Linked DNA regions of Xenopus tropicalis. The protein of the gene in region 6 binds, or shares a complex with, the protein of the main gene of each other region. Links are inferred from orthologs where the notes say so. Each region holds a gene or a part of one and is shown on either strand. Other genes may lie near its edges.

What was found.
Region 1: cacna1s (region 6) and cacng1 share a complex: the UniProt entries of both Homo sapiens proteins name them as parts of the calcium channel complex. The link is inferred for Xenopus tropicalis from reciprocal best matches to the Homo sapiens genes CACNA1S and CACNG1.
Region 2: cacna1s (region 6) and stac3 share a complex: the UniProt entries of both Homo sapiens proteins name them as parts of the calcium channel complex. The link is inferred for Xenopus tropicalis from reciprocal best matches to the Homo sapiens genes CACNA1S and STAC3.
Region 3: cacna1s (region 6) and cacnb1 share a complex: the UniProt entries of both Homo sapiens proteins name them as parts of the calcium channel complex. The link is inferred for Xenopus tropicalis from reciprocal best matches to the Homo sapiens genes CACNA1S and CACNB1.
Region 4: cacna1s (region 6) and cacnb2 share a complex: the UniProt entries of both Homo sapiens proteins name them as parts of the calcium channel complex. The link is inferred for Xenopus tropicalis from reciprocal best matches to the Homo sapiens genes CACNA1S and CACNB2.
Region 5: the proteins of cacna1s (region 6) and stac2 are in contact, whole or in part, in a crystal structure (PDB 6B27), measured with the Homo sapiens proteins. The link is inferred for Xenopus tropicalis from reciprocal best matches to the Homo sapiens genes CACNA1S and STAC2. Residues at the interface, in NP_000060.2 of Homo sapiens: Glu749, Pro750, Glu751, Ile752, Pro753, Ser755, Pro756, Arg757, Pro758; in NP_945344.1 of Homo sapiens: Tyr301, Lys302, Phe303, Gln306, Glu307, Asp310, Asn326, Asp328, Trp329, Phe340, Pro342, Asn344, Phe345.
Region 7: cacna1s (region 6) and cacnb3 share a complex: the UniProt entries of both Homo sapiens proteins name them as parts of the calcium channel complex. The link is inferred for Xenopus tropicalis from reciprocal best matches to the Homo sapiens genes CACNA1S and CACNB3.

What each region holds. Positions count from the first base shown.
Region 1 is NC_030686.2:51,096,919-51,101,503, forward strand, and holds the start of cacng1 (voltage-dependent calcium channel gamma-1 subunit), read left to right. Parts: upstream 1-1,448; 5' UTR 1,449-1,505; coding exon 1,506-1,746; intron 1,747-4,585. UniProt on the Homo sapiens protein: Regulatory subunit of the voltage-gated calcium channel that gives rise to L-type calcium currents in skeletal muscle. Regulates channel inactivation kinetics.
Region 2 is NC_030678.2:140,076,654-140,081,491, reverse strand, and holds the start of stac3 (SH3 and cysteine-rich domain-containing protein 3), read left to right. Parts: upstream 1-1,848; 5' UTR 1,849-1,956; intron 1,957-4,838. UniProt on the Homo sapiens protein: Required for normal excitation-contraction coupling in skeletal muscle and for normal muscle contraction in response to membrane depolarization. Required for normal Ca(2+) release from the sarcplasmic reticulum, which ultimately leads to muscle contraction.
Region 3 is NC_030686.2:10,406,746-10,410,794, reverse strand, and holds part of cacnb1 (voltage-dependent L-type calcium channel subunit beta-1), read right to left. Parts: intron 3,824-4,049; coding exon 3,750-3,823; intron 2,109-3,749; coding exon 2,089-2,108; intron 1,539-2,088; coding exon 1,458-1,538; intron 873-1,457; coding exon 814-872; intron 90-813; coding exon 1-89. UniProt on the Homo sapiens protein: Regulatory subunit of L-type calcium channels. Regulates the activity of L-type calcium channels that contain CACNA1A as pore-forming subunit.
Region 4 is NC_030682.2:28,138,852-28,142,900, reverse strand, and holds part of cacnb2 (voltage-dependent L-type calcium channel subunit beta-2), read left to right. Parts: intron 1-914; coding exon 915-1,051; intron 1,052-2,625; coding exon 2,626-2,702; intron 2,703-4,049. UniProt on the Homo sapiens protein: Beta subunit of voltage-dependent calcium channels which contributes to the function of the calcium channel by increasing peak calcium current. Plays a role in shifting voltage dependencies of activation and inactivation of the channel.
Region 5 is NC_030686.2:10,320,081-10,324,129, forward strand, and holds part of stac2 (SH3 and cysteine-rich domain-containing protein 2), read left to right. Parts: intron 1-1,431; coding exon 1,432-1,735; intron 1,736-1,879; coding exon 1,880-1,977; intron 1,978-4,049. UniProt on the Homo sapiens protein: Plays a redundant role in promoting the expression of calcium channel CACNA1S at the cell membrane, and thereby contributes to increased channel activity. Slows down the inactivation rate of the calcium channel CACNA1C.
Region 6 is NC_030678.2:63,894,027-63,898,075, forward strand, and holds part of cacna1s (voltage-dependent L-type calcium channel subunit alpha-1S), read left to right. Parts: coding exon 1-12; intron 13-95; coding exon 96-161; intron 162-728; coding exon 729-820; intron 821-1,025; coding exon 1,026-1,185; intron 1,186-1,272; coding exon 1,273-1,400; intron 1,401-2,440; coding exon 2,441-2,537; intron 2,538-4,049. UniProt on the Homo sapiens protein: Pore-forming, alpha-1S subunit of the voltage-gated calcium channel that gives rise to L-type calcium currents in skeletal muscle.
Region 7 is NC_030678.2:135,967,605-135,971,653, forward strand, and holds part of cacnb3 (voltage-dependent L-type calcium channel subunit beta-3), read left to right. Parts: intron 1-184; coding exon 185-280; intron 281-1,545; coding exon 1,546-1,704; intron 1,705-2,905; coding exon 2,906-3,220; 3' UTR 3,221-4,049. UniProt on the Homo sapiens protein: Regulatory subunit of the voltage-gated calcium channel that gives rise to L-type calcium currents. Increases CACNA1B peak calcium current and shifts the voltage dependencies of channel activation and inactivation.

The DNA.
Region 1 (4,585 bases), on a different chromosome or scaffold from region 6:
AGGCTAGTACAGGGGCAGTATGGGGCAGTTGGGGTAGGAGCAGGGGCATTATGGGGCAGTTGGGGTAGGAGCAGGGGCAGTATGGGGCAGTTGGGGTAGGATGGGGCAGTTGATCAATAGTAGGGGCAGGACGGGGCAGTTGGGCTAGGAGCAGGGGCAGTATGGGGCAGTTGGGGTAGGACGGGGCAGTTGATCAATAGTAGGGGCAGGACAGGGCAGTTGGGCTAGGGGCAGTATGGGGCAGTTGGGGTAGAAGCAGGGGCAGTATGGGACAGTTGGGGTAGGAGCAGGGGCAGTATGGGACAGTTGGGGTAGGAGCAGGGGCAGTATGGGACAGTTGGGGTAGGAGCAGGGGCAGTATGGGACAGTTGGGGTAGGAGCAGGGGCAGTATGGGACAGTTGGGGTAGGAGCAGGGGCAGTATGGGACAGTTGGGGTAGGAGCAGGGGCAGTATGGGACAGTTGGGGTAGGAGCAGGGGCAGTATGGGACAGTTGGGGTAGGAGCAGGGGTAGGGGCAGGGGCAGTATGGGACAGTTGGGGTAGGAGCAGGGGCAGTATGGAGCAGTTGGGGGGGGGGTATGGGCAGTTGGGTAGGATGGGCAGTTGATCAATAGTAGGGCAGGACGGGGCAGTTGGGCTAGGAGCAGGGGCAGTATGGGGCAGTTGGGCTAGGACGGGGCAGTTGATCAATAGCAGGGGCAGTATGGGCAGTTGGGGTAGGAGCAGGGGCAGTATGGGACAGTTGGGGTAGGAGCAGGGGCAGCATGGGACAGTTGGGGTAGGAGCAGGGCAGTATGTGGCAGTTGGGGTAGGAGCAGGGGCAGTATGGGGGCAGTTGGGTAGGAGCAGGGGCAGTATGTGGCAGTTGGGGTAGGAGGCAGGGGCAGCATGGGACAGTTGGGTAGGAGCAGGGGCAGTATGGGGCAGTTGGGGTAGGAGCAGGGGCAGTATGGGGCAGTTGGGGTAGGAGCAGGGGCAGTATGGGGCAGTTGGGTAGGACGGGGCAGTTGGGGTAGGAGCAGGGGCAGTATGGGGCAGTTGGGGTAGGAGCAGGGGCAGTATGGGGCAGTTGGGGTAGGAGCAGGGGCAGTATGGGGCAGGATGGGGCAGTTGGGGTAGGAGCAGGGGCAGTATGGGGCAGTTGGGGTAGGAGCAGGGGCAGTATGGGGCAGTTGGGGTAGGATCAGGGGCAGTATGGGGCAGTTGGGGTAGGACGGGGCAGTTGATCAATAGCAGGGGGTTGTGCAACTATCAGAGTGACAGGAGGGACGGGGGAAGTTGCGACACTTGGAGTGAAGGTGGCACCCCCCCCCCGCTCCGTGTATTAATAAGCCCCCCCCGCCCCCCCACCCATGTCTGTGCCCAGTTGGTGACTGATCCCAACAGCTGCTCCCGGGCCCGGCCCATCCCAGTCTCCCCCAGTGTCGGCCCCAGTAGCACAAGGAGCCACAGAGCAGAGGGAGTAGACTGAGCGCTCACTAGCCAAGGGCCCCAGCCAGTAGCCATGAAGGAGCTGAAGGTGCTGAAGATCCGGGTCACGTCCTGTATCGCCCTGGTGGGCATCTCGCTCATGTTGGCGGCCGTAATGAGCGACCACTGGGCCGTACTGAGCCCCAAACTGGACGACGACACCCAGTCCTGCGAGGTGGCCCACTTTGGCCTATGGAGGCTGTGTAAGAAGAAGATTTTCATGAGTGATCAGGAGACTATGATCAAGGGATGTGGCCCCCTGAGCCTTCCTGGGGGTAAGTAAGTCAGGGTAACCAGGCAACAAAGATTCTTTCCCCAACTTGCCCCCCAAATTCTGATTCCAGGGTTCCCATTTCATCTGGGGGCCAACCTGTAACTGTTCCACATAGGGGGGCTGGAGTGTGGGGGCCGGGGGGGCCCTACTTAATGAACAATTGATATTGGTTCCTTATTGCCGTTGGGCACTCACTGGGTAGGTCCCTTGGGCGCTCACTGGGTAGGACCTCAGGGCGCTCACTGGGTAGGACCTCAGCCGGGCACACTGGGTAGGACCCTTGGGCACTCACTGGGTAGGACCCTTGGGCGCTCACTGGGTAGGACCCTTGGGCGCTCACTGGGTAGGACCCTTGGGCGCTCACTGGGTAGGACCCTTGGGCGCTCACTGGGTAGGTCCGTTGGGCGCTCACTGGGTAGGACCTCAGGGCGCTCACTGGGTAGGACCCTTGGGCGCTCACTGGGTAGGACCTCAGGGCGCTCACTGGGTAGGACCTCAGGGCGCTCACTGGGTAGGACCTCAGGGCGCTCACTGGGTAGGACCTCAGGGCGCTCACTGGGTAGGTCCATTGGGCGCTCACTGGGTAGGACCTCAGGGCGCTCACTGGGTAGGACCTCAGGGCGCTCACTGGGTAGGACCATTGGGCGCTCACTGGGTAGGACCATTGGGCGCTCACTGGGTAGGACCTCAGGGCGCTCACTGGGAAGGACCTCAGGGCGCTCACTGGGTAGGACCTCAGGGCGCTCACTGGGTAGGACCTCAGGGCGCTCACTGGGTAGGACCTCAGGGCGCTCACTGGTAGGACGATTGGGCGCTCACTGGGTAGGACCTCAGGGCGCTCACTGGGTAGGACCTCAGGGCGCTCACTGGGTAGGACCTCAGGGCGCTCACTGGGTAGGACCTCAGGGCGCTCACTGGGTAGGACCTCAGGGCGCTCACTGGGTAGGACCTCAGGGCGCTCACTGGGTAGGACCTCAGGGCGCTCACTGGGTAGGACGATTGGGCGCTCACTGGGTAGGACCTCAGGGCGCTCACTGGGTAGGACCTCAGGGCGCTCACTGGGTAGGACCTCAGGGCGCTCACTGGGTAGGACCTCAGGGCGCTCACTGGGTAGGACCTCAGGGCGCTCACTGGGTAGGACCGTTAGGCACTCACTGGTAGGACCTCAGGGCGCTCACTGGGTAGGACCTCTGGGCGCTCACTGGGTAGGACCGTTAGGCACTCACTGGTAGGACCTCAGGGCGCTCACTGGGTAGGACCTCTGGGCGCTCACTGGGTAGGACCTCAGGGCACTCACTGGGTAGGACCTCAGGGCACTCACTGGGTAGGACCTCAGGGCACTCACTGGGTAGGACCTCAGGGCGCTCACTGGGTAGGACCTCAGGGCGCTCACTGGGTAGGACCTCAGGGCGCTCACTGGGTAGGACCTCAGGGCGCTCACTGGGTAGGACCTCAGGGCACTCACTGGGTAGGACCGTTGGGCACTCACTGGGTAGGACCGTTGGGCACTCACTGGGTAGGACCTCAGGGCACTCACTGGGTAGGACCATATGGCAATCCGCTGGCCTATGAGGCTCAGTATACCAAGGCAGGACCATCTATCACTGGTGCGGGGGGAGTAGGGCCCATGGATTATAGGAGGGGCCACCTCTGTCTGCAGCCCCCCCACACTCATGGGTCTGCCCCCACCCAGTGGCCCCATGTGTGGTGATTCAGGTGATGCCCCTCCCCAGTATCTGGTCACTGGGGGTAAGAGGCAGAGCAAGGGACCCCCTAAACTTCTCCCTGCCCTCTACCCCATATTTCCTACCCCTATGGGGGGTTGTTAGTGATCACTGGGCAGAGGGAAATACATAAAGTATGTATGTAAATAGGTATGTATGTATGTAAATAGGTATGTATGTAAATAGGTATGTATGTAAATAGGTAAGTATGTATGTAAATAGGTATGTATGTATGTAAATAGGTATGTATGTATGTAAATAGGTATGTATGTAAATAGGTATGTATGTAAATAGGTATGTATGTAGGTAAATAGGTATGTATGTATGTAAATAGGTATGTATGTATGTAAATAGGTATGTATGTAAATAGGTATGTATGTAAATAGGTATGTATGTAGGTAAATAGGTATGTATGTATGTAAATAGGTATGTATGTAGGTAAATAGGTATGTATGTAGGTAAATAGGTATGTATGTATGTAAATAGGTATGTATGTATGTAAATAGGTATGTATGTATGTAAATAGGTATGTATGTAGGTAAATAGGTATGTATGTATGTAAATAGGTATGTATGTAGGTAAATAGGTATGTATGTAAATAGGTATGTATGTATGTAAATAGGTATGTATGTAAATAGGTATGTATGTATGTAAATAGGTATGTATGTAGGTAAATAGGTATGTATGTATGTAAATAGGTATGTATGTATGTATGTAAATAGGTATGTATGTAAATAGGTATGTATGTAAATAGGTATGTATGTAGGTAAATAGGTATGTATGTAGGTAAATAGGTATGTATGTATGTAAATAGGTATGTATGTAGGTAAATAGGTATGTATGTAGGTAAATAGGTATGTATGTAGGTAAATAGGTATGTATGTAGGTAAATAGGTATGTATGTAGGTATAATTTGTGTACAAATTGTAGCCAAATATTGCTTCTAGCTGCTATGTAGCCTTTAAACCAATGAATCACTTCCATGTGAGTGCTACTGAGCTGGGGTTTGAGCTAAAGGTGCAATAGGTCTCACTACTCACTCACATTGTTTCCTGGGGGACTTTATTTTAATTGCATCACAGACTCAAAGTCATTAGACAGTGTAGGACTCGCGTA
Region 2 (4,838 bases), about 76 Mb from region 6:
CTTGCTGTTAACTGAAATTGTTAAATGAAATGCAAAAGCTATTTCTTAATTAGCAGAGAGACCCTTAATGTCTGTTTTAGAGAAAAAGGGTAATACTTCCCCTTAATAGTTTCATGGTGTGGGAACATCCAAGGCCAGGGTAAGTGTAAGGGTAGAGCAGAGACAGTGAAGATACAAAGTTTCAGTACATACCTGCAGCCCTCTAACTGTTACTGACTTGTAGCTTCAGCAGGTCAAACCCATGTTGTGTGGTTTGTTTGGCTTCCCCATTATCTGCTCTTTGTATGAAAGATGCTCTGCCATATATAATAGGGTGACAACCCTGTGCCTCCTCTAAACGGGTGACATTTAATTGTTTTTATTATCACTGGTTGATCATTTGTACCACTATTCCATCTGCTGATCAAGATGTTGCCCTGCGCATGGTGCATCAGCAGACGAGCAAACTGGTGCTGGAAACACATATAAACTTATAGCTGCTCCATTCTAGAAAGTTAACCCCCCCCCGTAACAAATCTAGCTGCACATTAGCACTAAACGGAAGAGCGTCACAATAAAATGTACACTTTTTTATGCTATGAGAATAATTCTCCAGATTTTGAACAGAATAAAAAAAAAAATAGAATGTTGTGTTCTTTGGTCATCAAGGAGACTCATTGGAGACTCCCCTGCCCCCCTGAATTGGCTTCTGTGCCCACTCCCATATGAATCCCCACACCTGCCTGTTCTCTTACCTGAAAGCTGACGCGGAGCAGAGATTTATATGCAGTACTGGAGGAAGCAACCCCTGTGGTCCGGGCCCCCCTGTCCCCTGCCCCCCCCCCCATCCTGGTGACTGTGGGGTCTGCTTCCTCCATTCTTACGCCACTGTTAACTTTTAGTATGATGTAGAGAGTGACATGCTGAGACAATCTGCAGTTGGTCTTCATTTTTTATTATTGGTGGTTTCAATGCATTTAGCTTTTTGTTTAGCAGCTATTCAGTTTGGAATTTTAGCAGCTATCTGGTTGCTAAGTTTCAAATTACCCTAGCAACCAGGCAGTAGTTTGAGACTGGAATATGAATAGTAGAGTGGATGAATAGAAAGATAAGTAACCCCCGTTTGAAAGCTGCACAAAATGATACAAAAAATATAAAAAGACCATTGAAAAGTTGCTAAAAATTGGCCATCCCATGAAATTAATTTAAAGGTGAAACACATTTCCTGAAATTATTATAACAGAATGTTTAGAGCCAGTGTTGGAATGTTTTGAGTCTCTTGAATTCTATCCATGGAATGCAGTGAATGTGTTGGGTAAAATATCTTCCAATGCTTAGCATACTGACTGCCATTTTTATATTACACAAAGCATATAAACTGGTGATTCCCCAACACATAACCTTTAGTATTTCACAGAGCAATTTAATCTAAGCAATCTAAGCTTTATAGATGTTTTTCTTTCTTCTGAATAATTTACCTTTCTGTTTGCCTCCCTTCTGGAATTCCTTCTGCCAAACCACAAACAGGCCTGAAGCCTTTTCCTGGCATTTCATATTCATTAGTGGGAAAGAGGGAAAAAAAAGCACATTTAAAACCAAAACATATTATCATTTCCAAGTTGAATTCCAGTAAAAATAGGAATTGTTTTGTGTGTGTGACAAACTCCCAGGAATGAAATGACTCCTGCGCTTTCCTCAGTTTCCCACCTCTCAGCCACCTCTCCAATTCCTGGTTGGGCCTACTGCCTCCGTGCTATGGCTGCTTGTAAAGTTTCCGATTTCTCTGTGTCAGCCTTTGCCTCTCAGCTGTCCTGTCACCTCCACACTTGTCACTCCCTCTCCTCTGAGGAGCAGTTTGTTTCATTATCTGAGAGGAGTGAACGAAGGATCTCTGTGCCCCTCACCTAAGGTCTGAAAGTGCCTTCTGAAGACAAAATGTTCCAGTAGATCCCCATCTGAGAACTACAGGTGTGTAAGGTTTGTCTAGGCATTGTACGCCATTTCTGTTTGCCCTTTAATGCTTCTTTGTATTTCCTTTTAAATGATCTTTATGCCACATAAAACAAAATATCATGTACCTGCTTGGATTTCATTTTAGTTATCTTGTAAAGAAAATTCCACATACACAATGTTTCGGCCACATCAAGGTTGTTAATAAATATATTGATCTTTATCATTATTTATAGCAATGATATATTTTTGTGAGTTTAAATACAGTGGAACTGTAGTGTTTCAGCTGAGGCAGAAGCGCAGGGATTCTGATAGTTGTAGTTCAGCAAGAATTATGGGGGAAAGGGGGCAAGATGCCTATTCCTGAAATAGGCACATTACCTTGGTTTCATTTGCTTTTCTGACTATAGCAAGTCACTAACAAATGCTTAACACAAATTGTAAGCTCTTTAGACAAAGATTTATTGCTTTACAGGGGATGCAATCATTATAGTGTTTGTTCTAATACTTTAGATCACTGTATAGGGATTTCTTGTGACAGTGATTTATTTCAGTTTTAGAAATATTTTATTTATCTTTATGTTTGCATTTAATGTCTATATCCTGTTACTTCTGCCTTATGGCTGAGATTCTAGCTATCCTTATAAAATAACATTTGGTTATAAGAGTCATGGAGCACCGGTCCGGAACCCACTGTTTCCATCACTGCAGCCTTTACAGTCCTTAAATGGATACACGGAATGCTGGAAAACTAAGCTTAGGCAGCGCAAACCAAAACACTGTTGCAATTTGATTTTATATCATAAGTAAAAGAAAATCGAACAGATCTTGTTTCTTTAAGTCTTGCCTAGTAGTTAAAACATTTTTCAAACATTCTACTGCTTATTCATTCCCCCCGACATTATAATCTGATAATTTTTTTCATGCTGTGAAACAAGTTGGCTGCCATACATTTTAGAGAACCAATAAAATAGCTTATAGGCATATCTTATCTAATCGACTCATTTTCAAAACCCACTGTGATCACCCATCTTTCCTCCCAGTGTGTAAGCAATAAACTTTAGTGGGTGTGTCAGTGGCACTTTGCCAAACATCCGCTTACATTCCTGCCAATGCTGATTAAAAATGGGGATATTTGTGGCCATGTTTCCACTCCACAAGACCACACCCAAACCTGCCCATAACTCCACCCACTTTTCAGTAAGCCTGCGACCATTTCATAACCCAAAACATGAGACTGCCCTAGCTAAAATGGAATGGTTAGTGGCCAAAAAAATTGTCTTCTCTTGTCTTTAACTTTTATTTATTCTAGGATAATTCCATACTAGATATGTTAGGGGATCTAATGTAATTTAATCTCTTTACCTCTTGTTTGGTCCTAATAGCTGCCTCCTGGGGCTGTAAGGTAGTGTGAAACACACACATCACTCAGGTGCTGCCAAAGACTCCCCAATAAGAAACACCAGTATGTTCTTCCATTCAGTAGCAGCCTTTATACATGTACAGTATGTGTGTGAGTATGAGTGCCAGCATCTACATCTACTTCCATCCAAATATTTTGGAAGGTGCTTTCTCTTTACAACAAGATGCAAACTGCCTGTGTCACATTCACTGTTTCTGTCCTGTCTTTGGACACATAAGCTGTTAATTTTAACCCCTCGCATCTACAAAAAGTATACAGTCAGCTGCCAAGCCTTTAGAATTTGTGTGGGATGATGTCCCATCAGAGCGCTCAGACAGAGTACAGCTGTTATCAGCCATCAAACATGGCTTTTAATATCTCCAGGGCTTCAGTTACACTGCTTACGAAAATAGTTTGTCCACAAAACCCCAAGCACTGTCTGTGGTTAATATACCGAAAGCTTCAGGCGTCTATGGTTTTCTGCTTGCTGTATTTGCGTAATTATACTGCATGCATTCAAACAATGGTATTTAAACAATGTGTAGGTGGCATATAGGAATACAGCTGGTAGGGAGTATGGCGCCAACAGCTCTAGAACACCCTTGTGATGAAAGAATTTTCATAGTTCCAGAACGTTCAGTGAACTAGTGGTTCTCTGTACAAAATACGATGATGAAAGAATTTTCATAGTTCCAGAACATTCTGTGAACTAGCGGTTCCCTGTACAAAATATGAGATGAAAGAATTTTCATAGTTCCAGAACATTCTGTGAACTAGCGGTTCCCTGTACAAAATATGAGATGAAAGAATTTTCATAGTTCCAAAACATTCAGTGAACTAGCAGTTTTCGGTACGAAATACAATGTTCTGTTGCTTCATTAGATTACACATGGCACCCATAGGGATCCTCAAAGAAAGCATTTACTGACTGGATCAGATGTCGGATACAGGTATGAGATCTGTTATCTGGAAACCATTTATTTAGAAAGCTCCAAATAATGGAAGGGGACATCTCCCATAGACTCAATTTTACCCATATAATTTTATTTTTTTTTCTCTGTAATTATGAAACAGTGCCTTGTACTTGATGGTAGCTAAGCTGTGAATCCATATTGGTGGTAAAACCATCCATTGGGTTTGTTTAACGGTTTAATTATTTTTTTTTTTGTGGACTTAAAGTATGAAGATCCAAATTATAGATCCATATAGATTGTAAGCTCTACGGGGCAGGGACCTCCTTCATCTTGTGTTTCTGACTCTTATTCCAACTGCACCTTGTATTTATTGTTGTACTTTGTATTTATCCATTATCTTTTGTATTTATCCATTATCTTTAACCCCCTGTCTGTATTAATGAATTCTACTGTACAGCGCTGCGTACATAAGTAGCGCTTTATAAATAAAGATATACATACATACATTATGGAAAGAACCCTGAGCCTTCTGGAAAACAGGTCCCATACCTTGAACACACAGATATAATGCTAGTTAGCACAATCCTGTATTT
Region 3 (4,049 bases), on a different chromosome or scaffold from region 6:
ACCGCTCCATAATATTATGTTTGCTTGGGTTGTTCAGGACTGAACGTTTGGCCAAAGAAATATCAGCAGTGACCCGAGTAATGGAAATCCTGGATGAAAGACAAATAATCATCAAAATGACATAAATGGCAAAGCAAAAACATATTTATACTTCCCTACAAACAACTTTTTTTGCCTTAAGTGGCTGAATGGCAGCTGGTTAGAACTGGGATTCAAAATAGACCCTGGCACAAAGGCCCAAACAGCCCCCCAGCAGCCCAATAAATAGTGACTGTCTATGGCATCTTACAGCCCCCCTGGCATTCCCAGTACCCAGAGGCACAAACAGCCCCCCAGCCCAATAAATAGTGACTGTCTGTGGCACCTTACAGCCCCCCTGGCATTCCCAGTACCCAGAGGCACAAACAGCCCCCCAGCCCAATAAATAGTGACTGCCTATGGCATCTTACAGCAGCCCCTCTGGCATTTGCCAGAACCCACAGATTGCCAGTCTGGGCCTGTATCTATCCTTCCCTCTTTCATAGTGGAGAATTATCAGTTCTGGACTTGGAGTCAAAATAGGCCCTGGCATTTCAGAACCCACAGATTGCTAATCCAGTTCTAACCTCTAGCTGTGGAGGTTACTAATAAAACCCTTAGTATCTGGGGATAATGAGGTATATAACCTGAAGGCCACAGCATCTCTACTACTTATATGTATATACATAGAAGGCACCCAAGGTATATGTGTGGGGAACCTTAAGGGTTGTTAAACCTCAGAAGATCTAGATTCAAAATCACACTTGCAAGTATGTAAAATGACAAAATTTGTACCTCCCATCAAATCGGTGCTTCAAGAAATCAAACAAAGCTTTCTGCATCATATCTGTGACCTGCAGGAGAGGAAAAGAGGCTTTAGAAAGAAAGAAGGAGAGGTCTGGCAAACTGGTGCTACAGGGATGAGAGAAAATAAAAGACACTGAGGTATGACTGACAAGAGAGGGAAACAGAGAAGTGGATTGGATGGAGAAGGGAAGGCAAAGACAAGTATGAAAAAAATTCATATAATATCATATAACCTATTGTTCAGTAAAAAACAAAGTCCAGTGTGCAAATGGCCAGTGCATTTAAAGAAGCCAGTCTGGAACCAGTTGGGAACAACATCCTTTTTTTCCACTATCATTATCATATTGTCTGTTTGAGCCAAGCCAGCTGAAACGTTCAAACCTTGATGAAGTCATCTGTTCCAATTGTTTCTTGGAAATACACATCCAGAAAATCACATGAAACCCTATATCTATAACAGTATCAGTACCAATATGGCCAGCTTAAGTAAAGGGGGAGGCAGGAAAGCCCAAAGTATGACTGACTGCATGATGGATACACAGCAGGAAACAGAAAAGTGAGTAATGCGGAGAGAAGGAAATCTGAAAGACTATCTAGTCAAGTGGCGAATAGGTTTGGGGGTACACGGTCACCTCATAACCCTTTAAAGATGGTCCCACTAGAATGATCGGCCTCATGGATGGAACAACATCATAAGGGGGGATGTGCTCTGTCTGTAAAAGAAAAGATGAATTATCTCACCTCTGTTTACTCACATGGAGTGTTCCAGGGTTTGAAAGAACCTCCCACGCATATTGCTCTGTATACGTATTATTATCGTTATATGGTATATGCATTTACAGCCAACACCACAACACCTCACTGCACCCACAGCAGAAGTTCAGAGACAGCATGGCATGCATTATTTACTGAAAGGCACAGTACCCAAAAGAATGTCACAGACTGAAAGTGACAGCTAAAGAGATAAGAGGGCCATGGTTACAGAGAGACCCCCTGGCAATGATGAAAGCCTGGGCGCTATCATTTGAAAAGAAAATAATTCATAAATTCAGGGTTTCCTGAGCAATAACTGGAGCCGCCCCCCGAAGCATACAGAACAATTATTATTAATAAAATATATTATTGACAAGGGGTCTCTCTGATGCAGACAGGGCTTTCTGCCCTGCCATAAACCCTCCATGGACAAATAAAGACTAGATAGATAGAAGAAAGATAGATAGAAGAAATAATGCAGATACAACGAGTAAACAAGTAATTACTTACTGACTTCTGCCTCTGCTTAGCTATGCCAGTGTGAGAAGAAATGGGAGAGAGGAATGTGACAGGTGTAGAGAGACATAGAGGATAGATGAGGATGTGGGTGGATTGAAGAAGGGATAACCGCAGTGAGGGGGGGAGAAAATGGAGACATAGGGAAGGGGGAGAGGGAATTTACAGGAGGTGTAAGTGAGAAGGAGAAGAGAAATAGTGGAAAGGGTATAAGGCAAAAAAGTAATGAAGAAGAGATGAGTGAGGATCGGGAAGGTGTGAGTGGGAGGAAATGAGTAACAGAATGGATGGCGGGAGGTGGATGAAACAAGGGAGGAAGGAATAAGAAAGCAAAGAGAAGAGGTAAAAATAAAACCATGCATGTTATTTTGTATACTCTCTGAGATATGTATGAACAAGAGCATGCGTCTGTACAGAAACATGCATGTTCCTGTATCTACATATTCAACTACATGCAAAGTACATGTTCTATAGAGTCAGTATGCACCTGCTTCTGTTTAGACACACTAGGTTTATTCACTCTCATAAACACAAGCAGGCATATCATCTGTGTGTCAATATTCTTATATTCACACTGCCTTCCACTTGCTCATACACCTATATGTCCATAGAACTGGAACTCACACATAGGCACACTCTCTTGCTGCCACACTCACACAGATTGGAGATTTATACACACATACATGCATGTATAGAAATGCAAGCATCTGCTAGGCTCACTGAAACTCAAATTTCCAGTTATTATTTCCACAGCACAGAGTGTAAGCTCTTAGGGCAAATATCAATCCTTGCAGGAGAAGCAGGGTTAGTGGCACGATATGGCGACTGGGGGTTACCTTCTTAAAGAAAGGGACCCGTTTGGTAGTGGATGGAGGGGTGGTTACGCTCCCTGTGCTGTTGAGGGGGGAGCGCTGAGCTGCTTGAGCTTCTGTTTCCTCGTACTCTAAATCAACGTGATCTATATCGTAAACTAAAGGGGATTCCAGGGGACCTGAATAGGAAGGGAATGTCCAAGAAAAAAAAGCAAGTGTGAGTGGTAAGAAGCGGGGGGTACAGTAAGAAAATGAGTGGGAAAGCATAGGGACATGAGACAATGTATAAAAAGGAAATACATGAGGTTACAGTGAGATAGGTAAAAGATATGGTGAGTTAAAATGGAAAGATGAGAGGGTAATATAAAATAAGATCATGTTTGACTACATAGGAAATACTAAACACGATGGAAGAAGGGAGGCATTGGAGTGGGGAGAACTGGAAGAACTACATAAAGAAAATATGGAAGAAAAAATTGTTGAAGTAAAGTGGAGAGAAAATAAAGCAGTGAATGGAAATAAAGTTGTCAGGCTGTGCAAGGAAAATGACAGGGGACAAACCTTCTGTTATCGGAGTCTGATGGGGTATATAGTGTCTAACTGAACAGCCTGCCATGGATTTGCATCTCCTGCACTATAATCTCCTTCATCATCTGTTCTACCACTCAGTCTTTCCTGTTCTCTTGCAGGCATGATGCCTTTTCTGTCTATCCTGCAAGGGCCAAACTGATCCTGCCCGGCCCGCCTACCCTAGCCATTTTCTCTGCTAAAACACAGGGTGGAGGAACCTGCACTTGATAGTTGTATAAATGAATGGTAGATTGGAGCAGGAGAGGGTCTCACCTGTAGCTGGGGGTGTAGGTCTGCGGGTCCCACTAACCACATCACCTAAACTGTTGGAATTACCAATGGATTTACTGTAAAAGAGGGAAAATGAAGTTAGGGAAAGCGAAGGAAGAAACAGAAAGTTAAATACAATCATTCAAAAATAATTGAGAGTATTAATGTCCCATAAACTCTTTTCACAGAGAACTTATGCTCTTTGCTCTGATTAGGAGGTGAGCTGGGTGACAATCCCATTAATGTTTTGGTGTGTGACATAGATGGGCTCTGTGATCCTGTAGGCAGCAATCTACAATGACT
Region 4 (4,049 bases), on a different chromosome or scaffold from region 6:
AGTGCTAGAGTGCTTAGGGGTACAAGTGCACGCCCCTTTATGCTCACCTAGGAAGCACTTGCACCCCCTTGGTAAACTGCGCTCTGCTCCTTTCAGTCTGGCTTTAAAGGCAACATGAGGAACAGAGTCAGGAGGCACAGCTAGCACTGCCTTAGGGGACCCTGTGATCATGGATGGGAGCCCTGACTACAGGTTCTGCTTCCTCTGTAGTTGTTAGAAATCCTTCCTCCCCAGCTGTGCAAGCCAGGCCCCTCTGAATATTTTTTTATAGGAGGGAGGCAGTGTGTTGTTATTGCACCACTGGGCCCCAATGTGGGCCATGCCTCCGGATGGTCTCAAACTTTCATGTCTAAATTAATTCCAAATTAGGGGGGCAGGTGGGGAGATGTCTACATGCCACCCCCACCTGCCCCTCTTGGATCAAGCACTGCAAAGTGCAAAAGAATTGCCAATTGCAGCCTGTTTCTGCAGTTTGCACGCTGCGTGGTGCATGATAAATTATCCTTATTGCCTTGAAAAAAGATTTACTAGTCCAAATGATATCGTATAACACATAAGCAGAAATTATAACATTATCTATGGCTGTTAAATTGTTCTCCAGTCTGATTATTTAACAGTTATATGGCACTCTAAAATATTAGCCCTAGCTACTGATGTCTGTTCCATAAGAGGCATTGATCTGTGCTTTAACTCACCAGTGATGCAATAGTTGCACTCCCTGAACCCTACCTTACAGTTCAACATTCATGCTGCTTGAATAGAAATGGAGGCTGCTGGGAGTATAGGAGGCCCTGTGACCTGGACTAGGGCAAACATTCAGTATACCCAAAATATAGAGAATAAAGAGGTGTTACAAATATTGTGCAGCTTCTAGTATACCATCATAATAATGTATAATATTTTTGTCTTTTTAGAAATTTAATAATGACTGGTGGATAGGTCGGCTTGTAAAAGAAGGCTGTGAAATCGGATTTATCCCTAGTCCTGTGAAACTAGAAAACATGAGGATACAACATGAACAAAAAACAAAGCAGGGGAAATTCTATACAAGGTAATCATATTGTTACTTTTAATGGTTTCTCAGTGGTATCAAAAGTTGAATATGACACTAGATTACATGCAGTGTAATGCAAAAATAATATATCATCCTTAGTGGAGGATTTGCTGTATCGGCACCTGTTCCTGACACAATGCTGTGCCGGCCAACACATACCATAAACAAACACGAACATATGATAAACATATTAAACATAACATGAAAATAAGATAAACATATCATGAACATATGATAACTTGAACGTTTGTATAACAAACAACCGTAACAATCCAATAACTGCGCAACGCCACTAGCACTGCCAGCTGCCATCCTAGCCCGGGACCACCAACTCCTCAACAAACTTACTTCCTGATACACCTCCTTACCCTTGAGGTGCCAGGCGTGCCAACCACCAATAACCATGCAACCATTGGTTCCCGGACTCAACCATTCCACCAGCCAAACTATAATATCAACTCACCTGTTTGGGGAGGGAGGGTGGGCGTTTTCCTGTACTGCCTAAAATGGACTGGAAGCGGGAAAGCACAGAGCTTCCTTTTATACCCCTGACTTGCAGCCATTTGAACCCACCAATCCCAAACTAGCTGGGAGTGGCTTACAACCCCTATGGCGCTGTCATGCCCCTGCCTCCCTACGCCCTGCTACGGGTCACCGGTCACTTGAATGAGATAAATGTGTGATAACACACGGCTCTATGCAGTCGTAACTGATAAACACAAACTCCATTATTGTTATACGGAACGCACAAGAGCTGGCTATATCCTGTAACATATTCACTTATATATGCTGTATAACTTATATATCCTCTTGTCAAATATAAGCAAAGTAGAAGTTAAAGGAGAAGGAATATTAGGCACCTCCCAGTGATTGTAATCGCTTACCTTTTACCCCTGACTGGTGCCCCTGTCAGCAGAAAAGTGCACCAACTCATCTTCCTCCTGTCTTCCTGGTCCCGGGGCCAACACATGTACAGGGAAAAGCAGCTTTTTTGTTTAAGTGGCAGAAAGACATAAGAAGGAAGAGGGTCACTCGCTAACAGGTACCCCCCTCCCAGCAGCCAATCAGCAGAACAATGGGAAGGGAGCAAGATAGCGGCTCCCAGTAGGTATCAGAATAGCACTCAATAGTAAGAAATCCAAGTCTGGCTTGGGACTCCTCCAAATATATGTGAGTAGGAGACAATAGGTTAGCTGAAAGCAGTTCTAATGTGTAGCGCTGGCTCCTTCTGAAAGCTCAGACTCAGGCACAATGCACTGAGATGGCGCCTACACACCAATATTACAACTAAAAAAAAATTTGTTCGTTCAATAATAAAATTTTAAATGGTAGAGTGAATTATTTAGTGTAATTAAGAAATACAAAGTATACCATAAAAATCATGACAGTATCCCTTTAAAGGTATGGGATAGCAACACATAATGCAGTGCTAGTTAAACATTTAGGTATCTGCTATGCTCTATATTTTCTAGTTATCACAAGAGATTAATCATTCTGATACTGCTTCAAAGGGGCAAATTGCCATGTTTGTACCCAAGTAATAAATATATATATTCTTTTCTCAATCTCAGTAAATCAGGGGGAAACTCTTCTTCCAGTCTGGGTGACGTGGTGCCTAGCTCCAGAAGATCAACTCCACCATCATCCGGTAAGCAAAGCCTTTCATAGAACACCCTTGGCGCCACTATAATGACCCAAGTCTTCTCTTTATCTTCTGCATTTCTCCAACCCCAGAAAGAAAGCTGAAATTTAGAAAACACAATTATGGGGAGATTACTCATAGGTCCAGGAGGGATTCCTGGCATTTTACCATTGATTCTAATTTTAGCACATTTATCATCTTTTTCCTGACATTCTGTAATTTTGTTAACAATTTTGCTCATTTATCAGATTATTTCTCTACTCACCCTCCACCCCCAACGGCTTTTCATCAGCATTTTTTCTCTAGTGGTCAAAAACCAGTGTTTTACACATAATCTTGCACATCACTCAACAAGTAATGTCTGTACATTAGCTAGAAAAGGTCCAATATAGCACAAAAAGATGAAAAAAGACCTATATACACATACACATTAGGTCTGATTGCTCCAATTGTGTTTCAATTAAAGGGAATTCCACATCCTTTTCTATCATGTTAGTTTATCAACAAAAACTTTACACAATATAGATCATTTACATTTTGTTTTTTTCAATCTTGGAATTCACAATCCCAGCTAGCAGGCAGGTGCCATTTTGTGGGCATTGTTATTAAGGCAAGTTTTGTATCCTGCCAAAATCTTGCCAGAATGGGGGACCAATGCCCATGCACAGGCTACACAGTTATAGGCAGTGAGGAGGGAGGTGGAATGTGAGGAGTGCAGTGACATTTAGGAAGTGCTGCATGGAAAGTGAAAGTAATTGACTGCCCCGCCTCAGGCAATAGATGATTAACAGCTGAGATTTTTACATACCTTTATACAGGTATGTGTGTTTTAATAAAAGTAAATATTTACTTTGCTAAAGACTTTTATTATCAGGATTTTTACGTGTGGGTACCCTGTAAGCAACAATTTAAACACAATATGACACATGTGGTGGGTGTGTGGGCCCCTGGGGTGGCAACCCCGGTGAACCCTGCACCCCCAGTCCAACCCTGGTGATGGATCAACCCACAGGCCAATGAATTGATACCATTTAAGCGCTCATTCATATTATGGCCACCTTTCTATCCTTCCATTCACTCTGGCCGACAGCATGGTGATGATTTAGTCATGCTAGTGTGAAGCAGCAAGCAACTTTTTGGAATTATGGAATTAAAAGCTATCAGCCCCTTAGTGCTCCTTTAAGAACCACCTGTGTCTGGGTCTGGATGTGTTCCGCACCTATTGCCAGAATGGAAATCCGGTTCCAGATGCAGAGTGGGCATAATAAAGAAAGCCCTGTCCTCACTGGCTGCCGTAGGGAAGGTACAGGGCTGCACTGTGGCCTGCAGTTGCCGGTAATCCCTAACTTGCAT
Region 5 (4,049 bases), on a different chromosome or scaffold from region 6:
CTTTTCCTTGCTACTGGGTTACTGTATAGGCTGTTACCGTATGCTGCTGTAACAGAATTCTTGTGTTGGTGGTTTCAGTATACCTGGGTGTTCTTCTACCTGTTACAATTGAATGTTTTCTATATTAGAAAGGAACAAAATGTAAATTATTTGCTTAAAAAAGAGCCTATGGGAGATGGCCTTTCTGTAATTTGGAAGTTTCTGGATAATGGGTTTCTAGATAACGGGTCCTACACCTGAATTATGTAGCAGGGTTAAAATTACAGATGCATCCAGGGCAACAAGTTTGTTCCCTGCAGAGCTTACAATCTAATTGCTCTAAACCCGAGTCACAAGAACAGTACCTATAACCACTTTGATAAGCCTCCCTATTCCCCCTCACGTTCCCCCCCCACCCCCCCGTATTTCTCATGGCCGCATAGTAACGTGACCAGTTCCCATCCCAGCAGATAAATGGCTGCTCAGAGTGAGCTCACACTTGGCATTGTCCCAGTGTCTCCGGGGGAGAGTTTGTTTAAACGCTGACTTCAGTCTATACGTATAATAGGGATGTGGCACATCTCTTACATGTGTGAGGAGATAGAAAGGGTTAAAAAGCAGAAAAAATACATTCACGGAACTTATCCAGAAAAAAATATATGGAAATGGTGGCTGTAACATATGAATGGAAATGCTTTATTTGAGATGCAGACTATAAACGCTCAATGAGACCCCCTTTGGTTCCAGGGTACCTTTATGCTTCCTACTAACACGTCTGCAGACCCAACCTTCCTATAGATCTCAGCGGCACTATACCAAGCGCTGTTAATGGTGATTTAGATCCATATTTGTCTGTGCCCTTATCTTTTTCCTGCACCTTTCCTCTCTTTATGGAACTGACTTGTTTAGTCCCCCACCCACCCCCCCATTCCGTTCTCACCCCATTAATGCTCCCTCCACTCTCCTCATTGTGTCCTTCCAGTTGTGCCTAATTCATTGTGATCCAGCTGTCAGCGGTGTGCCCTGGGCACTGGTCATTCTCCGATGATAGCTGTGACCCTTGTCACCAGTCTGTAGGGCCTGTCACATCTCATCGGCACATTTGGTTGTTCTCGGGGGGCCCTATGACCTCTTGTGAGACAGAGAGCTGCACAGTAGGACCCCAGGGTGGGGTGGAAATAGCCCCAGTACTAGAATTCTCAAAACCTCAGAATCCCCCACTTTCTCCCCTGTTTCATGTTTTTCTATTCTCTTATTTGGTTGTTCTCGGGGGGCCCTATAACCTCTTGTGAGACAGAGAGCTGCACAGTAGGACCCCAGAGTGGGGTGGAAATTGCCCCAGTACTAGAATTCTCAAAACCTCAGAATCCCCCACTTTCCCCCCTGTTTCATGTTTTTCTATTCTCTTCTTTATTATTTCCTCACTCTCTCCTTCCCTGATCTCTTCTCCAGCTTCAGCGTTTTCGCCGTTCTATCTCTCTGAAGACAATCCTACGCAGCAAGAGCGTGGAAAACTTCTTCCAGAGGCCACTCACTGAATCCAAAATACCCTCTGATGTCCTTCTCAGCCCACCTGCCCCTCCGCCTCCCCCCTCTCCACCTCCGGTCCCCAGTGAGGTTCTCCCTCAGACTGAACAGTCCCCCCACCCCTGTCACAAGCCCCTCTCTGTCCTGCAACCTGTCCAAACCCACAGTTTCCATGAACACGTCTTCAAGAAACAGTGCCCCTGCCACTTGTGCCATCAGATAATTGTCGGTAAGTGACTTTGGGGTGGTAAAAGAAAACAATGGCTTCTGCTTTTAGCCCCAACTGCTATACAAAAAAAGCAAAGGGTAATTGGTGCTTCACCTCAGGCCATCAATGGATGTGACATGTGACATTTTTCCATGTGTCTTCCAGGAAACTCCAAGCAAGGCCTGCGCTGTAAGATGTGCAAGATAGGAGTCCATCTGTGGTGCTCGGAGGAAGTATCTCATCAGCAATGTCTGGGGAAGATGGTGAGATAAGTAGAAATGTGTTAATGGTGAATGCGCCCCCCACCCATGTCTTGCCTTCTATTTGCCTCTCTCTCTTCTATAAATGTATCTGCATTTCGTTCCATCTGCTCCCTGTTATCTCCAGCAGCCCTCCTTACATATATTATCCGCTTCCAGTTAAAAGGACAGTAACATCTAGAAATAAAGAGGCTGCTTATGGATTTAAATACCAGAGAAGGGTCGTTTCTAAGAGATGTTTCTGCGGGGGGAAAATCAGTGGAATCTCTTTTTTTTCCTCAGTACTGTACAAAACGTATGGAACAAATAGTAACGTTTATTCAAGTATTGTCAAATTTCACAGATTCCAGCAATACATAAATGACTGCTTTCTAATTGTATAGAAAATGTTCCCGACTTTGATTAATATGCTCCTTTCACTTTCTGTGTTCCACTCTATTCCCCTTCTCTTAAGACTCAAACAACTCCCTTCTTCTACTGTATATCCGTGATATGTACCCACTCCCTTCTTCTACTGTATATCCATGATATGTGCCCACTCCCTTCTTCTACTGTATATCCATGATATGTGCCCACTCCCTTCTTCTACTGTATATCCATGATATGTGCCCACTCCCTTCTTCTACTGTATATCCATGATATGTACCCACTCCCTTCTTCTACTGTATATCCGTGATACGTACCCACTCCCTTCTTCTACTGTATATCCATGATATGTACCCACTCCCTTCTTCTACTGTATATCCGTGATACGTACCCACTCCCTTCTTCTACTGTATATCCGTGATACGTGCCCACTCCCTTCTTCTACTGTATATCCGTGATACGTGCCCACTCCCTTCTTCTACTGTATATCCATGATACGTGCCCACTCCCTTCTTCTACTGTATATCCATGATACGTGCCCACTCCCTTCTTCTACTGTATATCCATGATACGTGCCCACTCCCTTCTTCTACTGTATATCCATGATACGTGCCCACTCCCTTCTTCTACTGTATATCCATGATATGTGCCCACTCCCTTCTTCTACTGTATATCCATGATATGTGCCCACTCCCTTCTTCTACTGTATATCCATGATATGTGCCCACTCCCTTCTTCTACTGTATATCCATGATATGTGCCCACTCCCTTCTTCTACTGTATATCCATGATACGTGCCCACTCCCTTCTTCTACTGTATATCCATGATAGGTGCCCACTCCCTTCTTCTACTGTATATCCATGATAGGTACCCACTCCCTTCTTCTACTGTATATCCATGATACGTACCCACTCCCTTCTTCTACTGTATATCCATGATACGTACCCACTCCCTTCTTCTACTGTATATCCATGATACGTACCCACTCCCTTCTTCTACTGTATATCCATGATACGTACCCACTCCCTTCTTCTACTGTATATCCATGATATGTACCCACTCCCTTCTTCTACTGTATATCCGTGATATGTTCCCACTCCCTCTATATCTGTGATATATGATATGTGCCCACATCTCCATTTCCCTCCTGGCCTTTATATTCATTCCCTCTCTCTTCTGTATCTCCAGTCACTTTTCTACTCCAGAATAATATCTTGGCTTTTGCTGTCTTCTTTCTCCTGTATCTAATATCCTCAGCAACTTTGTTAGAACTTGGCTTCTCTGCTTTTTATGCCCCCTCTCTAAACCTCCTCTCTGCCATTTCCTATCTTCTATCTATCTATCTATCTATCTATCTATCTATCTATCTATCTACCTATCTACCTATCTATCTATCTATCTATCTATCTATCATCTATCTATCTATCTATCTATCATCTATCTATCTATCTATCTATCTATCTATCTATCTATCTATCTATCTATCTATCATCTATCTATCTATCTATCTATCATCTATCTATCTATCTATGATGCCCTCATCAACACTATTCCTCTGCTTTTATGCCCTCTCTTCAATGTCCTCTTTTTATGCCCTCTCTCTAAACTTCCACTTTTATGTTCTTGTCACTTTTCTACTCCAGAATGACCCCTCTGCCATTTCCTATCTTCTATCTATCGCTTATATCTGATGCCCACACTATATTTC
Region 6 (4,049 bases):
AAATCCTTTCAGGTAACACATTTTACTGTAAGAAACAAAATAATAATATTGACTACTTATATTCATTCTTAATGATCCCATCATTTTCTTTCCAGGCACTTCCATATGTGGCACTGCTCATAGTAATGCTATTTTTTATCTACGCTGTCATTGGAATGCAGGTTAGTATGTTACACATGGTGGGGAAGCACAGTATAGATATTCATTACACTATTGGCTGCACTATACACTATATAGTGCACTGTATACTATTGGCTACTCTTCAGTCTGTTTAACTATTTAAACACTACTGTTATTTTGTTCCTGGCTTAGCAGAGGATTTTTTTTCTTTTGTTTTTGTCTGTTCATGTTTCTAGTGAAGACTCATACCACAGCATATAAAACAGACCAATTCTGGCTGAAAATACAAGGCTATTGATATAAATATGAGTAGTCTTATTACAACAGTAATCCAGGGATTGGTCCATTTGTGGTTTTGGCAAAATAAATGAATTTTTTTTTACACTTTCTGGGGACAAAATGGAAACTTCTTTATCTGGGATATTAACCTTCCTGTGTCCTTTTTTAAATCTCCCCTCTTATTGCGTAAGGACAGCACCTCTGTCCATCTTCTTAGTCAATGTTAAAAAGCAAGTATTTTAATATATATGTCCTTTATTAATCCATGCCTATTACATAATTACATAATAAGTACATTATTTTTCATACATATCTTCTTGCTTTTTTAGGTTTTTGGTAAAATTGCCATGGTTGATGGAACGCAAATAAATCGCAACAACAACTTTCAGACTTTCCCTCAGGCTGTACTAGTGCTCTTTAGGTAATATATGTGTATAGTATGACACTGATAAAAATAGAAAAAAAGAAGATCCAAAGTTAGCAATTGGGAAAGTTGGGATTTTCACTAGAAATATCATGGAAGGCTTTGATATTGATTTGCATGTTTTGCATTTCCAAGTAGAAATGCAGTTTATTTATCTGATGAAAAAATACTGCGGATTTAAGTTTGTAACATTTCTGTTTAGGTGTGCAACTGGGGAGGCCTGGCAGGAAATTCTTCTGGCCTGTTCTTATGGAAAGCTGTGTGATCCAAAGTCTGATTTCCTGCCTGGTGAGGAATACACATGTGGGACCAGCTTTGCATACTTCTATTTCATTAGTTTCTACATGCTTTGTGCTTTCTTGGTAAGAGAGTTTCTAGAAGAACTAGTCTGCATTTTCATTTTATTGTTCTGTTCTTTAATAACTAGCTGTTATGTCATATTTCTACAGATCATCAACCTCTTTGTCGCTGTGATCATGGATAATTTTGACTACCTGACCCGTGATTGGTCTATTCTGGGGCCACACCATTTGGATGAGTTTAAAAGGATCTGGGCAGAGTATGACCCTGAAGCCAAGTAGGTGTATTGCTTTGCAAGAAAGAGATAGGATCATATTGGTGCAGAGTTCCAAATTCAGTGTTCACAGCACACTAGCTCAGTTATCCAGCAGTACACATGCAGAATGTCCCTCTTGTCCCACTCTCAGTAGCATAAATGCTGAACCCCCATTATAGAGGATGTTTACACCCAGCAGAAGGACTGCAAATTTCCTGGTATCCCCACATTAGAAATCCATCAGGACCGACAGCAAACACCATATATGTTATTAGAACAATATGCCTACTTACATGTTCTCTTTTATTTTCCACTGGTCATTATTCTGTTCTCTTGACTTTTCATCTATCTGTCTATTAAACACAACCCAGTTTTAGCTATGCCTTTTACCTCCACTCTTCACAACATATTTTTTTTCTTTTTCCTCTTTGCCTGTCTGTTCTCCTTCCCCCTTTTCTGCTTTTCAAAATTTTATACATGTAACTATTTGCAAAACTTACATTAATTAAATTAGTATTATATTTAGCATGTCTAGTCACTAGGAAAAAATTTATTTTGTAAGGTAATGCTATTAAAACAGCAGGTATAGGATGCTTGCATTTTATTCGAGTTGTAGGTTCAGCTCACTTGATCATTATGAATACTTTCTCAGAGCAAGCAAAGTGACTGATCTGGTTAAACCAGCAGATTACTCAGTCACAAAAAGCAGGACAAATCACACAGTAATTTCTGAATTCTGCACTAGCCAGTGGTGGTGTGCACCCCCTAACAGTCATAATCATTTCAACCCTGTGCAATTGGTGTTCCCAGGGCATTTAAACCCTTCCCCCAAAAAAATGTAGTTAGCGAACAGCCCCTTTGAAATATTCAAATATCTGCCAGTCCGGTTGTTAAAAGAGTCATAAGGCTGGGGCATCCCTTAAATCCCTTAAACTGGCGGCCCATGAGCAACAAAAAGACCCAAAAGAGTTTGGTCTGAAAACAATAAGGAAAGCAATATAATTTGAGAAACCAGATATGCAAATATGATATTTTAAAATTAATAAAGTTAATCTCTACAGGGGGCGAATCAAGCACCTTGATGTAGTTACACTCCTTCGACGAATTCAACCTCCTCTTGGTTTTGGAAAGTTCTGTCCTCATCGTGTAGCTTGTAAGGTAAAATATCTGTTATATTGGCTACAGAAATATATTATTATTATTACTATTATATATATACAGGTCCTTTTCAAAAAATTAGCATATTGTGATAAAGTTCATTATTTTCTGTAATGTACTGATAAACATTAGACTTTCATATATTTTAGATTCATTACACACAACTGAAGTAGTTCAAGCCTTTTCTTGTTTTAATATTGATGATTGTGGCATACAGCTCATGAAAACCCAAAATTCCTATCTCAAAAAATTAGCATATTTCATCCGCCCAATAAAAGAAAAGTGTTTTTAATACAAAAAAAGTCAACCTTCAAATAATTATGTTCAGTTATGCACTCAATACTTGGTCGGGAATCCTTTTGCAGAAATGACTGCTTCAATGTGGCGTGGCATGGAGGCAATCAGCTTGTGGCACTGCTCAGGTGTTATGGAGGCCCAGGATGCTTCAATAGCGGCCTTAAGCTCATCCAGAGTGTTGGGTCTTGTGTCTCTCAACTTTCTCTTCACAATATCCCACAGATTCTCTATGGGGTTCAGGTCAGGAGAGTTGGCAGGCCAATTGAGCACAGTAATACCATGGTCAGTAAACCATTTACCAGTGGTTTTGGCACTGTGAGCAGGTGCCAGGTCATGCTGAAAAATGAAATCTTCATCTCCATAAAGCTTTTCAGCAGATGGAAGCATGAAGTGCTCCAAAATCTCCTGATAGCTAGCTGCATTGACCCTAGCCTTGATAAAACACAGTGGACCAACACCAGCAGCTGACATGGCACCCCAGACCATCACTGACTGTGGGTACTTGACACTGGACTTCAGGCATTTTGGCATTTCCCTCTCCCCAGTCTTCCTCCAGACTCTGGCACCTTGATTTCCGAATGACATACTTTGGACCACTGAGCAACAGTCCAGTGCTGCTTCTCTGTAGCCCAGGTCAGGCGCTTCTGCCGCTGTTTCTGGTTCAAAAGTGGCTTGACCTGGGGAATGCAGCACCTGTAGCCCATTTCCTGCACACGCCTGTACACGGTGGCTCTGGATGTTTCTACTCCAGACTCAGTCCACTGCTTCCGCAGGTCCCCCAAGGTCAGGAATCGGTCCTTCTCCACAATCTTCCTCAGGGCCCAGTCACCTCTTCTCGTTGTGCAGCGTTTTCTGCCACACTTTTTCCTTCCCACAGACTTCCCACTGAGGTGCCTTGATACAGCACTCTGGGAACAGCCTATTTGTTCAGAAATTTCTTTTTGTGTCTTACCCTCTTGCTTGAGGGTGTCAATGATGGCCTTCTGGACAGCAGTCAGGTCGGCAGTCTTACCCATGATTGCGGTTTTGAGTAATGAACCAGGCTGGGAGTTTTTAAAAGCCTCAGGAATCTTTTGCAGGTTTTTAGAGTTAATTTGTTGATTCAGATGATTAGGTTAATAGCTCGTTTAGAGAACCTTTTCATGATATGCTAATTTTTTGAGATAGGAATTTTGGGTTTTCATGAGCTGTATGCCACAATCATCAATATTAAAA
Region 7 (4,049 bases), about 72 Mb from region 6:
TTTAAGTTACCAGGAGTGTTTTTTTGCCACCCCTGGTAAATTGCCAGGCATTGCCACCTTAGGCGAGTTTCCTAACTCGCCTCATGACTGCAGTGCCCCTGTATAGGGGTAATATATATATATATATATGCGCTGATTTATCTGTTAATCACCGTGCATAATTTCCCATGTACATACATTCCAGGTGCTGCAAAGATTAATAAAATCCAGGGGAAAATCTCAAGTCAAACATCTCAATGTCCAGATGCTGGCAGCCGACAAGCTGATACAGTGCCCTCCGGTGAGTGAGAACATTAATGGCAGCAACTGTTGTGGAGTCTCTCTTTTATATTGCTGGAGGTGAACTCTGTCTTTATTTTCATGTGGTTGCTCCCATGGGAATGTAGATGAAAAATAAAACTTAAGGCTCATGGCACACGTGGCTAATTGCTGGGTGAAAAACACCAACAGAGAATATGCCAATGGGGCCGTGAGTCTAGTGCTTTTGTACAACAAAAACCAGGGCTTAGGTTTCGAATTTCATCCATTTTACTCCTTGTTTGTTTATAAGTATCACTCAGGTATAGTATTTTATGATGTTTAGGTTTATTTAATTACTATTTCTTTAGTTCTGCATGGAAACTGCTATCTTGTTATTTGAATCATATATCTTGGTTTCTTATTGTTTGCTACCAGCTCTGTTGCTAGAGATGTTTCTTATTATATGAGTCCCAGAGATCAGGGCTTCAAGATAAGTGGCCCCTTCATCTTTAGGTAAAATACGGGTAGTTGCAGGGGGTTAATGTGAGACACAGTCGTATATGATTGTGACCTTATTAGGAATGTATCTTGGGTGTATCAAGCTGTAATCAGGTGTAGCCTATGTTGGTAGCTAGTCCTGTTTGTGCGCCTCTATGGTCACATACAGACAGTCATTTTGACTTACCAAACTCCATTCAGCAACTAAATGTGTGTAAATTCAGGCTAAATCTGAACTAAAGATTTTATCGAACATCAAGCCCAGATCTGATTGCTGCATCCTGGCTAGCACACAAATCCCATCTATAAGGTGTGTATGTGATGAGACAAACACACCAAATTAAATTTCCCCTGTGTCACACTGTAATAATAAATCAGAGATGATTATTAAGCCATTGGAAGATGAATTCTAATGATGATTTACTGCCAGTGGTGTTAGCAAATAGCACTAAGCCATTTTAGGTTATGACTCATGAAACATATAGAAGTGATAGATCTAAAGGCACGTTAGATGTCATCTGAATCTGATAATCTAATGCTTGAATGTTTGGGAGGGCAGGCCCCATAAAGTTCCAAAATTATTTGACCTTAATAGTATAAGTAGTGAATTGATGAAATGTTGCATTGAAAATGTGCAGCAAAACTGAAACGTAGCATAAATAACCCAGCTCTAGTACCAGCAGCCTTTCTATATTTCTGTATAACATGATCTGTCACCGGTGTCAGGCCCTTCTCCATGGACACTGGCTCACTGAATGAAATCTGACAGCTGCTTTGTGCATGAATGATTTCTTTGCTCTTCTCTAGGAACTGTTTGATGTGATATTGGATGAGAACCAGCTGGAAGATGCCTGTGAGCACCTTGCTGAGTATATGGAGGTTTACTGGAGAGCCACACACCACCCGCTGCACCCCCAAAACAGTCAGAACCTTATCACACCCCCAACTGCCATTCCTGGTTTACAGGTATATAACTTGAAGTTCTAAATAAAGGATAGATGATTTTTTGCCTTATAAAAGGAAACCTAATTCTAAGAAAATTTGCAAAACAATAAAACTATTGAAAATGTTTAATTAAAGTTATTTGTAAATGTAGGTTTGTGAGGTTAGTATTACGGCTGCTTCTGATTCTTGAAACTGTGTAACAATGCTGCTTCAGCCACCTTGTTAATTAGCAGGCTTCTGCTATATTGTTTCAACTGCCAGAACAAGCAGCACAGGGACTGCTGAGCTGCAAGTTGGAGTGATATTACCCAACTCAATTACGCTCTCTACACTAGCGATGCCCCCACCCTTCGGGGGGCCAGCATCGGAAGACGCCCCTGTGTGTAGCACTGGCTCCTTCTGAAAGCTCAGACTCAGGCACAATGCACTGAGATGGCGCCTACACACCAATATTACAGCTAGACAAATAAATTTGTTGGACTAAGAATAACATTTTAAATGGTAGAGTGAATTATTTGCTATGTAAATAGTGTAATTTAGAAATAAAAAGTATTCCATAAAAATATTGACAGAATCCCTTTAAATAGTTTGCCCAATGCAAAACTGAAAGAAAACAAAGAAACAAATAAATGGGCAAGCTGATCGAATAAGCGAACATTGTATTGTATGATGCTGGTGTTGAGACCTCAGTGGCGGCACTGCTATCGTGAAGCAATCTTGCATGACAATTTTTCCTTACTGGGAGTCTGGAGAATGACAGCGATACTTAGGTCGGGGCTGGGATTTTAAAATAGGCCCTGGCACTTCAAGTACACAGAGGCCCAAACAGCCCCCACCAGCCTACTAAATAGTGACTGTCTATGGCATCTTACAGCAGCCCCTCTGGCATTTGCCAATCTGAGCCTTGACACGGAACAAAAGCTTCATTAAAAGTGGCATTGCTACGTATGTCTATAGTTGCTACAGCAATTGCCAAAGACAACAATCTTACATTTATATAATGTTGTCTGATGTGTTCTGATCTTATTTACTATTCCTGTTTAGAAGCTTTTTGTATCCTATACTATATGCCTTCAGCTGGGGCAGATAAGCCATGCCTTCCTCCTGCCCCATGTACTGTACCTGTATAATACCAGTCAATGCTGCAATTTCTTCTGTGTTTGTGTGCATGATGTGAAATGCCTGACACTGTCAGTTAACAAGTGTTTCTATTTACATTCAGGACCAGCAGCTTCTCTCTGATCGAGCCAATGAGCACTCACCCTTGGAGCGTGACAGTTTGATGCAATCAGATGAGGCGAGTGAAACATCCCGAAAAACATGGACAGCTTCATCACAAAGAAGCTCTCACCATCTTGAGGATGAGTACTCTGACACCTACACTGACCTGTACCAGCCCCACAGGCACCACAACAGTGGACTGAACAGCACGAATGGGCATGACTCTCAGGACCGGCTCCTGGAGCGGGATTCTGAGCAGAACCATAATGATAGGAACTGGCAGCGTAACCGCCCATGGCCTAAGGACAGTTACTGAAAGGGATCTCACTGCACACACCCGTCCTACACACATACACACACTCCTCCTGCATGGCAGTGCATGTCAGGAGGCACAACCACTGAGTGCAAATTCCAGGGTAGCTCCAAGAGGCAAAACTGTACTGGTGAACAACAGCCCTTTTTACATATACCAGGTGCCTGGTAGCTATTGGCTGCAAAACAAAGGTGAGACGGTAGAACAGAGAGAGAAGTAGATGCACATATGCAGCGCCTGCTGCCAAAATGGATCAAAAAAATTAAGACAAGGTATTTTACAGTCCAAGGCAGCATGGTGCTTAACACACACAACCAATTCTATACACCCACGAAAGCTGGTAGTATTGAAAGGCCTCCTATGGGAATCTCTTTGGGCTGTATCCACACATACCTTCTAGCACTTCCACAATACACAGTCACAGGTTTACACAACAGAGTGGCAGAAGTCCTTCCTACAGTGACACAAGTGTGTCAGTCAAGGTAAGAGTGAGCTTTGAGTGGAGTGTGGGGTTCGGGTGACTCTCCTGCTTGTCAGTGCTTGCATATTCTCTCAGTATATACAGTATAATCTGCAATACACTTCATATCTCCTGTTAGGCCTGGCTCCGCAATGCAGTACAACAGCACACATTGCATTTTGAAATAGCATATACTTTGCCAGATCCTGTGATGCCAATCTCAGCCAGGAACATGTCAGCCATTCACTTTAGGAACAATAGCACCCTGTGCTGATCACTTGTTGGCTATGAAATTAGCTGCATGTAGCACAGGGCAAGCAAAAACAAATTCTGATTTCATTCCTGTCAAGAGTCTAACATTTAGTACTAAAG